Linked DNA regions of Cricetulus griseus. The protein of the gene in region 2 interacts with the protein of the main gene of each other region in a biochemical or structural test. Links are inferred from orthologs where the notes say so. Each region holds a gene or a part of one and is shown on either strand. Other genes may lie near its edges.

The links.
Region 1: of the proteins of Wwp1 (region 2) and Klf5, one has a biochemical effect on the other in vitro, tested with the Homo sapiens proteins (4 studies listed by BioGRID, with this or other methods). The link is inferred for Cricetulus griseus from reciprocal best matches to the Homo sapiens genes WWP1 and KLF5.
Region 3: of the proteins of Wwp1 (region 2) and Wbp2, one has a biochemical effect on the other in vitro, tested with the Homo sapiens proteins (2 studies listed by BioGRID, with this or other methods). The link is inferred for Cricetulus griseus from reciprocal best matches to the Homo sapiens genes WWP1 and WBP2.
Region 4: the proteins of Wwp1 (region 2) and Dvl2 form a complex in vitro, tested with the Homo sapiens proteins (2 studies listed by BioGRID, with this or other methods). The link is inferred for Cricetulus griseus from reciprocal best matches to the Homo sapiens genes WWP1 and DVL2.

Annotation. Positions count from the first base shown.
Region 1 is NW_023276807.1:251,145,155-251,148,499, reverse strand, and holds the end of Klf5 (Krueppel-like factor 5), read right to left. Parts: intron 2,342-3,345; coding exon 2,163-2,341; 3' UTR 567-2,162; downstream 1-566. UniProt on the Homo sapiens protein: Transcription factor that binds to GC box promoter elements. Activates the transcription of these genes.
Region 2 is NC_048595.1:132,927,883-132,931,449, forward strand, and holds part of Wwp1 (NEDD4-like E3 ubiquitin-protein ligase WWP1), read right to left. Parts: intron 3,463-3,567; coding exon 3,288-3,462; intron 1,844-3,287; coding exon 1,789-1,843; intron 1,702-1,788; coding exon 1,617-1,701; intron 1,504-1,616; coding exon 1,375-1,503; intron 209-1,374; coding exon 133-208; intron 34-132; coding exon 1-33. UniProt on the Homo sapiens protein: E3 ubiquitin-protein ligase which accepts ubiquitin from an E2 ubiquitin-conjugating enzyme in the form of a thioester and then directly transfers the ubiquitin to targeted substrates.
Region 3 is NC_048600.1:128,663,194-128,666,677, forward strand, and holds the end of Wbp2 (WW domain-binding protein 2), read right to left. Parts: intron 3,441-3,484; coding exon 3,348-3,440; intron 2,782-3,347; coding exon 2,647-2,781; intron 2,428-2,646; coding exon 2,305-2,427; intron 1,741-2,304; coding exon 1,664-1,740; intron 1,546-1,663; coding exon 1,492-1,545; 3' UTR 545-1,491; downstream 1-544. UniProt on the Homo sapiens protein: Acts as a transcriptional coactivator of estrogen and progesterone receptors (ESR1 and PGR) upon hormone activation. In presence of estrogen, binds to ESR1-responsive promoters. Synergizes with YAP1 to enhance PGR activity.
Region 4 is NC_048600.1:83,846,537-83,850,873, forward strand, and holds the start of Dvl2 (segment polarity protein dishevelled homolog DVL-2), read left to right. Parts: upstream 1-1,474; coding exon 1,475-1,668; intron 1,669-4,337. Other genes in the region: Phf23 (PHD finger protein 23), read left to right, coding at 1-111.

The DNA.
Region 1 (3,345 bases), on a different chromosome or scaffold from region 2:
AGAGCTCCCCGATGTTCAGGTCAGCTATTCCTGTGGGTTTCACCAGCCTGGTCTGGACCCCTGTGCTCTTCACTCATCCTTCTCTGTATCTGGGTTCCAGTTCAGTTCGGTGATTAGTTGTGGGTGTCTGCTTCGACTTCCACCAGCTGCTGGATGAAGGCTATAGGATGGCATATAAGTTAGTCATCAATCTCATAATCAGGAGAGGGCATTTAAGGTAGCCTCTCCTCTGTTGCTTAGACTGTTAGCTGGTGTCATCTTTGTAGCTCTCCAGACATTTCCCTAGTGCTTGAAAGAAATCCTTCTATGTCTTAAAGGAAGTATGATTCAATGTGTTTTTATTTTATTTTTTTCAGACAAGATTCCACAATGTCCTTGAATTCCACTACCCCAGAGGCTGGGATTATAGACAGGCACTTCTACATCCCAGGCAGGCAACCAATTGGGATCCAGGTCACTGTACTTTCTCGAAGTCTGCCTGAGAGTCTTTTAATTAACCTCCCTGAGCAGACCTTTAGATCATACTATGCTCATTAACTGCTATAGAAGGGAAAGAAGGCACCATGTAAATCTTTTAGGCACTTTTTATTTTCAAAAAAAAAATTGTTGTTAATATATAAACATCTCATTCTCTCAAAAAATTCTACAACTTTACAGCTGTTTGCTCCGATATTTGCATAGGAAATGACCACAATACAAAAATAAGGGACAAAGAAGCCAAACAGCAGCCGGTTTACGCTTTTGAAGTAGGTGTCCACGTATAAACATCTTGAAGCCTCTTACAAAACTATTTACACTGTCACCTATTTACACATTGAAGCAACTTTTCTAACAAACAAAACTATAATTTATCAAGTTATGAAAATTGTTTTCTAAAAAAACTTACTATATTACCACAAAATAAATAATGATAAACAATATCTTAAAAACAAAAATTAAATTTTTAATTAAGACCGCTTTTGGCATTTTGCTTATGATTTCTGCCCTTTGGTTAACAGCGTCAGTCACATTCCTATGATATTGCATATTGGTAAGCTTTCAACATGTCACTGATATTAAAGGCAGACACCGAGTCAGCATTAACAGATTAACTACACTGCACTGTAATTTCAATAATAAAATTACTGTGTCTCACTGGTTATTACATGCAAAAATCCACATAAATTGTCATTTAGCCAACAATATGGCATGAGCAAACATCCCCAGTCCAAGAAAACTGCACCAGAAACTCAGCGTTTCCACAAGTGCAAACAGAGTCTTAAATTCAACGAGGACACAAGTGACAGCCACAGCCGTCTTTCACAAGTGATACTGTTTAACTTAGAAGACCTTTAATGTCTGTGTCTTGTAACTATCTTTAAACTCTTCAGTTTAAATTCATATAAAAAAATCTTTCGTATTTAAAATAAACAATCTTATTTCAATCAGAGAGTGAAATTTGCATTTTATTCATTTGAATGATTATTCCCTCCCCCAAAGAAATGGATTTGGTAACTTTTTTAGAGAGGTATCAACCACAAATCCTAACTTCATATGTATTAATAGTTATTTTCAAAAGAAGTATGATTCCCCCAAGCAATCCTTAAAAAGTTGTAATAAACCTATAAAGCTGATTTGCATATTTACAAAATTTTGTAATAGCAAATATAGGCAACTCATATAAAAAACAAAACAAAACACATTTGTTCAATGGCTATTTGTGAATTGCCAGGTACACTGTGTACCTCCTCTATGGAAATAATCTAATCTTGAGAGAAAAAAAAAAACAAGTCCACGTCAAGTAAAATCTTGACAGTCTGTCCGGGTGCCTGCCAACTGGTTTGTTTATACTAAACAATGTCACAAATGATGGCGTGTGCAGTCTGCATAGAAACAGCATACGCACCCCGTGCACCCCCACCGGTTCCCCACGCTGAGATGCCGCTGCCTGTCTGGAGATGAAGTGTGCTGGAAAAGAGCCAGCGATGAGCATGACAGCAAGTTCCAGGTTCTCAAAATAACCAAACACTTTGGTATTAATACAATGTATTCCCTGTGGCCTCAAATATACAAAATATACATTTCCAGTTCTCTTTTTTTTTTTTCTTTTTTATATGAAGTTAGGTCAGCGGTTTAAAGGGTGGCAGAGCGGACTGCGAGGCGTCGGGCGGTCGGCGCAGGGCTCAGCTCTGGTGGCGCTTCATGTGCAGCGCCAGGTGGTCGGATCGGGAGAAGCTGCGGTTGCACACCCCGCACTGGAACGGCTTGGCACCCGTGTGCTTCCTGTAGTGGCGAGTCAGCTCGTCCGACCGAGCAAACCTCCAGTCGCAGCCCTCCCAGTTGCACTTGTAGGGCTTCTCACCTGCGACAAGAAGAGACACAAGGTGAGGTGACAGTCTGCTGCAAGACCAAGGGCAGAGCCCACAGCACACTCTGAACCCCACTGGGAGCTCCTCAGCCTCAGCGTATCTGAGTCCTTCCATTGGAGGATGGGTGTCACCCGTAATCCTCAAGAAAAGGACAGTCTCTTTCAAATGCTGGAGAATCGGCTTCGTGTGGGTCACCTCGCAGCACCTTTCCCATTACTCGAGGCCAGCTCGGTCTACATAGCAAGTTTCAAGCCAGCTAGGGATACACACTGAGATGAAGGTCAAGAGAAGGCCGAGTGTCCCCTATATGGGGCAATCCTAAACCAATAAATCCTTAAAGTGGGTATATGCCTTTGGATGATGTCATCTTATCTTACAAATAAGGATTCTCCATAATCAAACCTTGATTACTGTAAGCATGATGGCTAACGCCAGTGAGGGAGCTAGCTGCTCAGACCAGGCCTTCACCAAGAAGCTCATATACCATCACTGTTTGGCCTAACCCTGCTCCTGGTTTTATCTGAACTAGGTTCCCAGCATAGAGCCCAGGACACAATAGGCTGGGGATCCCGTTTCTGTTGTAGTCATGTCTCATGTAACCCAAATAGGTCTCAAATTGGTTAGGTGGGGATAACCTTGAACTCCTGAAGTTTCTGCCTCTCCACCTCCCAAGTGCTTGGATTACAGGAGAGTGCTGACACACTAGTCTTCTCATTCCACATCTTTATATTCACACTAGCACACACATTTCCCAAACCAGAAAACACTTAAAACATCATTGCTTTATGTAAACATTTTTGCATTTGATAGTTAATACATTCTTTAAGTAAACCAGGATCTGCTGCTGATAATCCCACAGTGCAATTTGTATGGTTCCTAATATTTCTCCCAAATTTGCCAGTCCTCAAGTTCCCAAACTGCTTAATATTTAGGATACAATTTTAATTTGCTGTGTTAGAATCAATCCCATTTAAGATAAAGCATCTTCCTATACAAA
Region 2 (3,567 bases):
ATTGATCTTTACATGACTGGGTAGTGCATTAGACTAAAAACAAAAATATCACAGCATGTAAGCCACAGCATATGTATTCCATAACTATCAGACTAAATTATTATAAATGAGATTTATTTACCACTGTAGTACCTGGCACAAGTAACGGAAGTGAGCAAGCTTCCACCTGAAGCTGCGTTCGTAAGCAATCTGTGGACCACCTTTAGTTCTAAAAAGAAGCATAACAAATAACACTGTAATATAATTATGAAACAGTGTGCGTCAGATTGTAGTATGACTAAAGAAAGCTATTTACAGTCGATAAATGGTGTATTCATTAGGACAATAGAGGCTTGAGTCATGAAGATTGTCCCATCAGCAGAACATATGCACGAGAGAGACTCCAAGTAGGAACAGGTCTATTGAGAAGCCCTTAGTTTATAGAAGGCCTAAAGTCTACTACAGACTACTTAAAAAGAACGTTGGATAATTCTTTTTTTTTTTTTTTTGTACTATTGTTTTTGTGTGATAAACTATAAGCAGAATTCTGATAATTCTTAAAGCTGAAGAAGTCAAGGATTCTAGATAAGAGGAACAGGAGGAAAAAAAAAAAAACCTAGACCTCATCTTAAACCTGATCTGAACAAAAACAAAGCAAAGCATAAGTAATTCTTGGAGCAAGCTGGACAATGAGAAAAGAGGCAGACACAAGAGTCAGCTGAGAATGAGACCTGCTTCTCCTGCCGAGAGAGTCTTAACAAAAAATACACGGAAATTCAGGAACTTTCATGGTAGAGTGAACACAAAATGCTGTCTTCTGCTGTCACAGTCATGGAAGTTCATTCACCCAAGAAAATTTATCAAATACTTAACAGGGACCTGGCATTCTCTAGACAATGAAAGCATTACTCCCTAGAAACATGGGGAAAGAGTGGCTGTTTTGTATATAATGTACCATTGAAGGAAATAGATAAAAATGAAAAGTAAACTACATATTGTGTGTTTTAAGGAAATAAATGGCTAATAACTTCTTAAAGGGGCCTTGTTAAAAGAAAAAAAACAAACAAGAAAATAATAATATAATCTCTCTCTCAAAGGTCATGGGAAGATAAAAATGAGCTAACATGTCTAAAATGGTTAGAACAATCTTTGGCATATAGTAGTTGTCACACACATATATGCTAATGTTATTATATACAAAATATATATTATTAAATAAAGAAATGCCATACCACAAATCCATTCTGGAATTATATAGAGCAAAACCAGTTATAGGTAGATATTACTTGTGCATGTTTTCTTGAACATGGCTTGTTTCTAAATTTGAAGCTGCATTAGAGACTAGACCTCCTGTATTCACTACATAATATTTTTGAAGTTTGGGTTTCCACTTACACAGATGACTTCCCATTGCGAGGATCTTTGAATGTTGTTGTTCTTGTGTTATGATCAACAAAGTACCTAACACCTTCCCGAGTATACCTGATTTCCCAGCCTTCTGGCAGGGGTTCTTCATTTGGTAAGCTGTAAGACAAAAAAATCACAATCATATGGTGGGTATGTTTCAGGTACTTATAGCCCACTGACTCCATCCATCTTCTCATGTGTAATAACTTAAGACTTTACTATACACATACCCTTGAGTTCTGGGGTCTTCCCATTGGGTTGTTTTTGTATTATGATTCACAAAGTAAACTCTGTCTGTTGAATCCACTCTTTTTTCTAAAACATAAAGTATGAATAACATTCAATAACAATTTGATACCTATATACCTTATACATATTTTTATAAATACCATATCAGCTTACCCCATCCTGGTGGTAAAGGTCCATATGGATCATTTTCTGCAGCTAACATTGAAGCCTGGTTGAAAAAGAGGTTGCAATATAAGATAGCAGTTTTAGCCAGAAGTATACTAATATACTAAGCAATTAACAATCATATCTTAGAATTTTTAAAAAATGTTATAAAGGAATATGAATACAACAATTTCAAGAAACAATGTTCAAAAATATTATGAAGAGCAGCCACCAGCTGATATAATTATTAGTAAATCATTTAAAAATAGTGTAGTAAAATCAAAAAGCTAATTTCCTAGTCCTTTTTAAGGAGTAAGAGGAGATGGGTAATTAGAGATAGAGATTATGCCATTTAAAGGAGACAATATTATTTGCTCAAAAATAGGTAAATCATTATAGTATAATTATTCTGCAAAATAATTATTCAATGGTAATATGTATACATCTTGATGAATATTTGATAGGACTGCCACCAGACAGCACTAAATATCCATTTTTATCTTATCTTTCTTGATAATGTAATCACTAGCTTTGTTTGAGGTAACAATGTGCCCATAAGGAATAGTCCACTGAATCTGGATTAGTAAAGTGACCAATTCTAGCCAATGAGGCAGAAGCAGGAGGGTTTCCTTTGCTAAACTGCTAAGCAAATAGGCAGGGGCTTGCTAAGTACAAGGGCCCTGCTACAGGAAACCTCTCCCCTTTCAGTTTACCCTTTCCTTTCATGGCAGAGACTCTGGAAATCAGGCCAAGGGTAGAAGCTCTTTATGTTCAAAATAGCAGGCAAAATGCATGGCAATAGAGGGTGCAGGAAAGATGCATGGCAACAGCCGGTAGAGATGGTGAAGGTAATGTGCATGACAATAGATGGTAAAGGAAATCTGCATGGTAAAAGATGGTACTAGTAAAATGCATGAGGAGATGGTGCTGGTTCAGTTGGTGACAATAGATGGTGTAGGTAAGCTGCATGACAACAGACGGTGCAGATAAAGTGCATAACAATAGCTAGTGTAGGCAAGAGGCATGATAATAGAGCAGGCAAGATGCACTGAAATAGATGATACTCTAAAAGGCAGAACTCAGCTGCTTGATGGCACTGTAAGCCAGAGAATGATTCTTTCTTGTTCCAGCCCTGGTATTCTATTGAAGTAGCTTAATTTGCATCCATTTAAGAGGACTGTGCTACTTAGTAGAAAGTATTTTGATACATACCCAATACCTAATTTTGTCCTGTTTACAAACTTTAATGCACACGAAGTCCTACACAGAACAAAACAAATGTACTATATACAGGATGAACATCCTAATCTAAAATCTAAAATATTCCAAAGACAGAAAAATTTCAAGAATGCTTATTTATTTAGACAAACCAGAAGTAATATTAAAGATTAGCCAAAAATAAAATGAAGCAAACAAACTATTGAATGTACTCTACATATTTTAGAAAGCCACCAAAGTAAGGGAAAAGTAACATTAACACCTCTAACACCTTGTAAATTGCTAATTACCGAATAGAGGTATCGTTGGTTGAATTGTTGCATAGCTCCCTGCAATTGATTCCGCTGAGATTGCCACTGTTCAAAATTTCGAACAGATTCCATGGTAGGCCGCTGCCATGTGGTTGTTCTGGTGTTATGATCCACATAATAAACTCTTCCACGATCATCAACTCTTCTTTCCCATCTACCACAAATAAGCAATAAAAATGAAGCAATGAGTCATTTCCTGTTAAATTAAAACATACATATTTTTACTTTATCTATTGGCATTGCTAGGGATGTGTAGGGG
Region 3 (3,484 bases), on a different chromosome or scaffold from region 2:
TGGGCAGGCCTGCCAGCCCCTAGGGGTGGGTGGCCGAAGAAAGAGGTGGCGGCAAGGCCTTGCTGCGTCTCTCTGTGGGAGCATTTTGGTCAGGAGAGGACTTCGGTGCTGGGGTCTCCCACAGCCCTTTGACTGTGAGTGGAGAGCAGGCCTTTAGCTGGTAGTGGCTTTAGCTTTATTCTACCTTCTTGCCCTAGGTCAGGTGGCATGAAGTCACACTCCCCTCACGGGAGTCCTGCCATACCCGGGTGACAAAGCTGCTTCCAGCCTGTGCTCAGTAGGCGAGTTGCAGATGGGATACAGGCCTTGTCCTGTCCCCAGCTGGCAGTGGGTGGCACCATGCACCAACCCCGGGCAGGTAGAGGCCTCTGTAGGAAGGCTGGGAACCAAGTGCACCCTGAGACTCACTGACAGGAAACGGGCTCCTTTGCCCCACCTCCCAGCTGTCAATAGCTCCTCCTCCCATAAGATCTCACCCTTCTCACCACACAGAGTCAGAGAGTCCAGTTACTTCATTTACTGTTTCACAGTTGTAGCAAACAAATCAAGGTGCAAACTGGGTTTATTTCACATTAATATATTAACTGGATTTTTTGTGTGTCAAATAAATAGGGATTTCTCTTTAAATAACCATCTCCTTGTTTTGCGTCCAGACCAGGACCAAACAAGAGCAAATCTTAGTGCATCCAGGGGGCGGGCGTGAAGCTCACACAGGGGCAGATGGCAAGTTTCAGGTCACATGGTTGGAGGTGCTCGTTCCCAGACCTAAGTCATGATTGGACAGACATGCACTCTCTACTGCTCCTGCAGAAAAGCCCCTTGTGTAAAGGGGAAGAGGAGGGGACACTACCAGAGGGGCTTCTCCCAGCTACAGAGGCTTTGCTTCTGATGCCACCAACCACTGGAAGTTCAGGGTAAAATTCCCAAAGCCAGAGGCAATGAGGGAACAAGGACAAGTGTGGAGTGTGACTGAGGCCAGGGCCTGACTGAAGGGAATGTGGACTGACCATCTGTGGGGACAGTGGCTTTCCGGGGTCAGGCACACCCCAGGAGGAAGGAATGTGAGCAGGACCTGGCAGGGCCTGTAGGAGAGACACAAGGCGGGTCTGATGAGCCCAGAAGATGGCGTAGGATGGTCATCAGGCTGAGGGGCTGGACTGTGGTGGAGGAGTGGCCAGAGAGTCCCTCTGTGGGCAGGAGCTACTACAGTGAGGAACAAGGGGCAATCCCAAGCTCCCAATAGCCCCAGAGATGGTGAGAGGGAAGCTAGACAGAGCAGTGCCATGGGTTGAGCTAGTGTGGGAAGCTGGGAGGCGCCTCTCAGAGGCCAGGAGCCCCGCCCTTCCATCAGGGCTAGTTCCTGGTAACTGTTTATAATCAGGCCTGGGGAAGAACAGGCCCTCCCTGGCCTCCCAGAATCTCAGATGCAGCTCCGTGGGAGGCCCAGGAAGGGAGGGGTCGTCCAGTGAGAGGCAGGGAGGTGGGCAAGGTCTACTGGGTCTTCTTGTCTTCTGGGGGGTAGTAGGGTGGCGGCGGAGGCTGGCTCTAGAGGAAGAAAACACAGATCATGTGAGACATCACAGAATGAGCAGTGTCTCTCTTTCACCACTGGCTCCCAGGCTGTGTGACTGAGAGGGCGGGCAAGCAGGTTTGCCCCACTTACCGTGGGCATGTAGACATTGTGTGGGTTGCCGGGGTTGTAATAGGCGCTGGCAGCTGCTTCTGCGGCCTTGGCCTCAGCTGTAAAAGGAAACACATGGCTGGATGGCAATGAGTGACAAGCCCCCCTCCTCCACCCACCTGAGTTCAGGGCAGCTGGTGCTGGCGACTCAGGCCACCAAAAGCTTCAGTGACTTTCCTAAGCACCTGCCACGTGCTGGCACTGTCTTTACAGTCCCTTTACATGCCCTTGACATAGGTCTATCGGGCGGTCCTGGTGACCATCTGTAGATGAGACACTGAGGCATACAGGGTGACTTTCTGGGTCCAAGGTCACTGGTAGCCAAGGGCCAACAAGGCTGGAATCTATACCTCATCTCACCTTCAGACTGTTGTTTCATATTCTATGGCACTGGGGACACAGAACATAGGCCTAGCCCATGCCAGGCAAGGGCTCACTAAACCAAACCCAGCCCTTGCAATACAGCTCTTCACCACCGAGCTATCACTCTGTTGGTTCCTCTGGGTGGTCTGTAAGCCAGAGGCCCTTCATCAGTAGTCTCCAGCCATCTTGTGGGGTTGTCTGTAAGACCTTCCGGAGGAGAAAGCTGGTCCTCAAGAATTGCTAGCAGCCTAGGGGCTCACCTGCAGGAGTGGAGGGGGCACTGGGGCCACTGACTGGAGGCTCCATAGGCCCAGGATAGGGTGGTGGTGGGGGCTGTACATATCCCATGGCGCCATCCATCATGGGAGGTCCTGGATAGAACTCTGCTTGGAAAGAGAGTGACAGAGACAGTGAGCACGCCCTCGTGGCTCCCTCAGAAGGCTAATCCTGGGAGTGGTCTGTCTATTTCCTTGGGGTGCCCTCTGAGCTCTCCACTGTTAGGTCTAAAGCAGGTGAAAGGGCACATTGCCCCTCTGCAACCTGAAGGTGTGGTTAGTGGGTGGGTGGGGAGGCTGAGGCTGGGCAGCAAAGGACACACTCACCAGGTGGGGGCGGTGGATAGGGGTAGCCAGGAGGGCAGGGGTACATTCCATTGGCGACTGGCGGGGGAAAGACATAGGCCCCACTGGGCATGTAAGGGTACCCATAGGCTCCATTAGGGGCTTCACCTCTGGAGGCTATAAGTACAAGGGGAGAGAGAGATGAGTGTTGCCTGCCTCAGGGACTGATGAGTCCAGGACAGTGCCCACAGATGCCATTCAGCCTCCCACTGCCCACCTGGGTCTGCCTAGGTCTCTGTGTGGGAGGGGAGGGGAGGGGAGGGGAGAGGAGAGGAGAGGAGGGGAAGGGAGGGGAGGGGAGGGGAGGGAAGGAGAGGGGAGGGAGAGGCCAGAGGGCAACAGGACAGAGTGGAGAGGGAGTAAATGGAAAGGTAACCTGGGGGGGTGGGAGGGTAGAATGAGGGAGTGAATGCTGAGCACAGTGCTTGGGAATTTACAATGGCTGCTGGGTGGTAGTTTAACAGTTGGGTTTATTGTTTGTTTTTCAGTCCAAACATTTCTGTCAGAATGCTGCATGCTTGTTATGGGCAGAGGAAACCCACAGACGGTAATTACAGGTTTCTTTCTCAACTCCCAGCCCTGCCATCTGGGCCCACAGTCACCTCCCAGTGCTTACAATACAAAATAAAAGGACAAACAAGAAACAAGGAGTGCTGGCCTCTTGTTTTTAAGAGCTGGGATACCTTGTGATGCCACCTGGAGCATCCGCTGCCCAAACTCAATGGCGCCCCCTGCTGTGAAGGTCAACTTGTAGGAAGCGGCGCCTTCCCAGCCACCTGAGAAGGGGCAAGGACAGTGAAGGAACAGTGAGGACATGAAA
Region 4 (4,337 bases), on a different chromosome or scaffold from region 2:
GCTAAGATAAAGAAGACCAATGTTCCTGACTTCTTTTATTGCCAGAAATGCAAGGAACTTCGGCCAGAGGCCCGGCGGTTAGGGGGTCTCCCCAAATCGGGAGAACCTTGACATCACTCTTGAGGCTGGAACTTGTGACTTTACTTGGGAACTGAGGCTCAGAGTCTTCAGCCTCTTCAAAGCAGGAATTCCCGAGGGAGACTTGTTTGGAATTGAGTGTCTTGTACGCTGTCCTTCCTGCTCCATGGACTTGAATTAGACCCATTACATCTGGGTCAGGGGAGGCTGGATCTGTAGACAAGTCTCTGTCCAGTCAACCTACCACCCTTTGACTTTCAGGGCCAGGGCTCAAACTGGGATGTAATGGGATAGTTGTCTATAAAATTGTAGTGTAAATACAGCACTCCCTCATGTTTTCTTCTCTCTCACTCCCATTTGCTTTCTTCTACACCGGTTGTTTTTAATTTTGGGCTCCCATGTTTGAGCAAAGTGGTTGCTCAAAGGCGGAGTACCATAGCTGGTGGAGTGGGGGAGAAAAGCAAAAAGGTGTCAATTATCACTAGCCTCATTTTTAATAATATTGGCTGGCTGCTTGTACAGACAGCCAGCGTGTTGTAAATAAAGCAGAGTGGGCTCTTGTGTTTTACAATCCTCGTTGTCCTATTTGGGGAGGGGACCTGGCAGATGTCTCGATGTAATTAGGGCTGAAACCGACTCTTATGATCCAGAGATATAATCCCACAATTTGGGAGGTGGAGACAATTTAGGGGCTAAGGCTGGCTTCCACTACATGAGACACTGAATCCCCCATCACCCTCTCTCACTCAAAAGTCAAATCTTGAAAGGTCTAGTTTTCAGCGTTCTCAAACCAGAAGTCGTCCTAGAGGTCCAAGTTGGTTTGCAGTTCTCGATTTACCAGTACCCTCCCACACCCCCATAGTTGCACCTGAGGTGCTTTGAGCTCTGGGCCTGGGATGGGTAAAACAGTGGGAGCCAGTTGCCAGCATTCTAAGAGTCAACGGGGTTGGCCATAGTACTTGGTGTGGGGCGGGGTACACGTTTGGGGGCGGAGTCTTCTAGGGCTGAAGACCGTTGCTCAAGGCAGCGATCACGTGAGTGTCTAGGCGGAGCTTCGCAGTCACGTGACACGAGCGGATCACGTGAGGGCAGTCGGCTGCGCAAAGTGGGCGGGCTTGTGTCACGTGGCATGGGGAGAGGTGGGCGGGGACCTCGATACTGTTCGCGACGTAGGTGGTGGTGTTGGACCTCGGCTGTGGGGTCCAGGGTTCTGGGTCTCGCTCCACGGCTCTAAGCTATCACCCTGCTGCTCCACGCCGTCCTCCTTGGGCGCGTCTCCCGCACTGGCCCTGCCCTGTCGGCGCTAGCACGTCAATTTGCGGGTGTGCGCAGGCGCGGCGGGGGCGCTTAGTCCTGTTGGGTGGGCGGCTGAGCCCGGGAGCGCGCGAGCGAGACCATGGCGGGCAGCAGCGCGGGGGGCGGTGGTGTAGGCGAGACGAAGGTGATTTACCATCTGGATGAGGAAGAGACTCCCTACCTGGTGAAGATTCCTGTCCCGGCGGAGCGCATCACCCTCGGCGATTTCAAGAGCGTTTTGCAGCGGCCCGCGGGCGCTAAGTACTTTTTCAAGTCTATGGATCAGGATTTTGGGTAAGCGTGAGGCCTAGACTGGGAAGGACGATGGATGTGCTGGAATGGATTGGGCGATTTTGAGGGGGACTGGACTGCCTTGGAATTTTTCTGGCCTGTTGTAGAACATAGCATATTGTACTATGCTAGAGTAGATCGCCCATCCCAAGACGGACAAGGTTGGACACACAGAGCTTGGGAAGAACGGGCTGGACTTCAGTAAACCAGAGGCAAGAAAATTAGGTTGGAATAATGGGGCACACTGGTTTGTTTGGCCATTCTCTCTACTTGATTTTAGCCACAAGGCTAAGAGGCGATGCTTGAGGATATTTTAGGCTGTGCTGAGATTAGATTCAACTATCTTTTGGTTGTCTGGTATGTTCTCAGACGTCTTCACAAGGATTGTATAGGAATATTCTGTAGGGTTATTTTGTTTGTTTGTTTGTTTGCTGGTTTTGATTTGGTCTTTTGTTTTGAGACAGGCCTTACTCTTTGTATCCTAGGCTGGCTCCGAACTCATGGAGTTCCTGCTTTCAGCCTTGAGAGCTGGAGTTAACAGGTGTGAGCCAATATGCTGGGCATGCAGTGTCATTATGTAGATTGAGCTATACTTAGACAATTTAGGCTATCCTGGCTTATTAATTAGGTCCCATAGTATTATTTTGAGATCTGAAATAATGCAGAGAGGTCTGTCGGGGATAGGTTGGACTGTTTTGAATAGATTTTTTTCTGGCAAAGTTTGCAACCTTCTGAACTCTACTGGGTTCTTTTTATTTTCTCTTAGGAGTAGATTCCCCTCCCCCTACGGGGGAAATTGGAGGTTTGTTTGTTTATTTTAAAGATATTTTATGTGTATGGGTGTTTTGCATGCGTGCATATTTGTGCACTACAAGCATGCAATGCCTCAGAAACCAGAAGATGGCTTGGGATCGCTTGGAACTGGAGTTATGTATATGTTATCCTCTATTTAGGTGCTGGGAATTGCACTCCAGTCCTTTGGAAGAGCAGCCAGTGCTCTTAACTGCTGAGCCAGGATTTCATCCTGTAACTAAAGCTACCTAGAGCTCACAATGTAGAACAGACTCACCTTGAATTTGTAGCAGCCCTGCCTCTATGTCTGCATCCTTCATGCTGAGGCTAGAGGTGTGTGACACTATACCTGGCCCAGACCTGGGTTTACTGTGTTACAAGATAGGAATAGGCTGGTGGAGTCCGTGCATATTGTATTGGGGTATTGCAATCAGTACTGGTGCAGACAGCTGCTTGTGTGGAGGCACTGGGGCTTTGCTAGATTAGATGGGGGTTGTTCTGGGGTAATTTGGGACATTCTGGGTGATCCTGGGCTGGAGTAGAACTCTTGAGTAAGGCAGCCTTTTGTTTTGTAGCTATTGAGACCGAGTCTTGTGTGTCCTCAGGCTCAAGGTCTGAAGATAGAGTGCATTGGATTCTGATGTTCTGAGTTGGCATAAGCAAGGATAGCAGGGTACTGGGGAGAAAAAGGTTATCTACCACCTGGGTTGGAGCAAGGCTCCTTACCTGTGGTTGGAGCACATTCCCCATTAGCTAGAACTGAACAAACTGGACTCTCACTGAAGATTTTTCGACATGGGCAGAGTGATACTATCTAGGGGGTTGTCTTGGATTTGAATCTTGGTTCTTCTTTTTGCATTATAATTTTAGGCAATCTATTTAACTTTTGTGCTTTGATTTCTTCATCTGTGGCATGATGATAATCATAGTGTAAAATACTTAATTTAGGTGCAAGCACATGGTAAATCTTGGTGGCTGGTAATTTTCATTTAGTATTGAGGCTAACTAGTTCATAGACTAGATTATAGTGATACAAAATTGCCTGCTTTGGAGGAGACTGGGCCACGCTGGGTTTGATGAGGTTGGGTTATGTTGGGAAGAGTTGTATACACTGAGCAGACCCCTGGTGACTGGGCTATGTTGTCTTGGCAGCTAATATATGAGGAATATACCTTCAAAATGTGGCATATACCCAAGGCCCCCAGAGCATATTAGGCTAGTGTTAATCAATCAAGAGGTTTTATTTTAATTTTTTCATTATTTTTATGTATATGAGTGTTTTGTCTGCATGTATGTATATCATGTGCATGCCTGGTGCCTGTGAACATTAGAAGAGACAGAGCCCAGAACTGGAGTTACAGATGGTTGTGAGCCACTATGTGGGTGCTGGAAACTAAACCTGGGGCCTTTTGGAAGAGCGATAAATGCTCTTAACCACAAGCCAACTCTCACTAAGCCAGCCCCCAGACAAGAAGTTCTAATTTGAAGGTGAGGGTGTTGTGTATGTGAAAGTAAGCCTCATGGCTCATATTTTGTCACCATGTATTTGCTAATGCTTACTAAGTATCAAGGCTGGTGCTGCACACCCAGGACACATGTTGAACAGAGTAGGTGCTAATGATTTCTTGTGGGTATTGAGAAGGAACAAGTTTAATCCGAGGCGGGAGCCTGTGGGAGGCTGGCCACCAAGGCTGGGCTTCAGGATGTTTCAGGCTGAGCAGATTGCTTAGTGAGATGAGGCAGCCAGGAAACGGGAAGCCTCTCATCCCCTCTCAGTGGGCGCTTTCCTGGTGTGGAGTGTTACTGTCACATTGAAGGGTGTTTTCACCTAGCAAAGGCCACACATTTGGATGTCTCTGGGTGTGAATTAGAACTGAAAG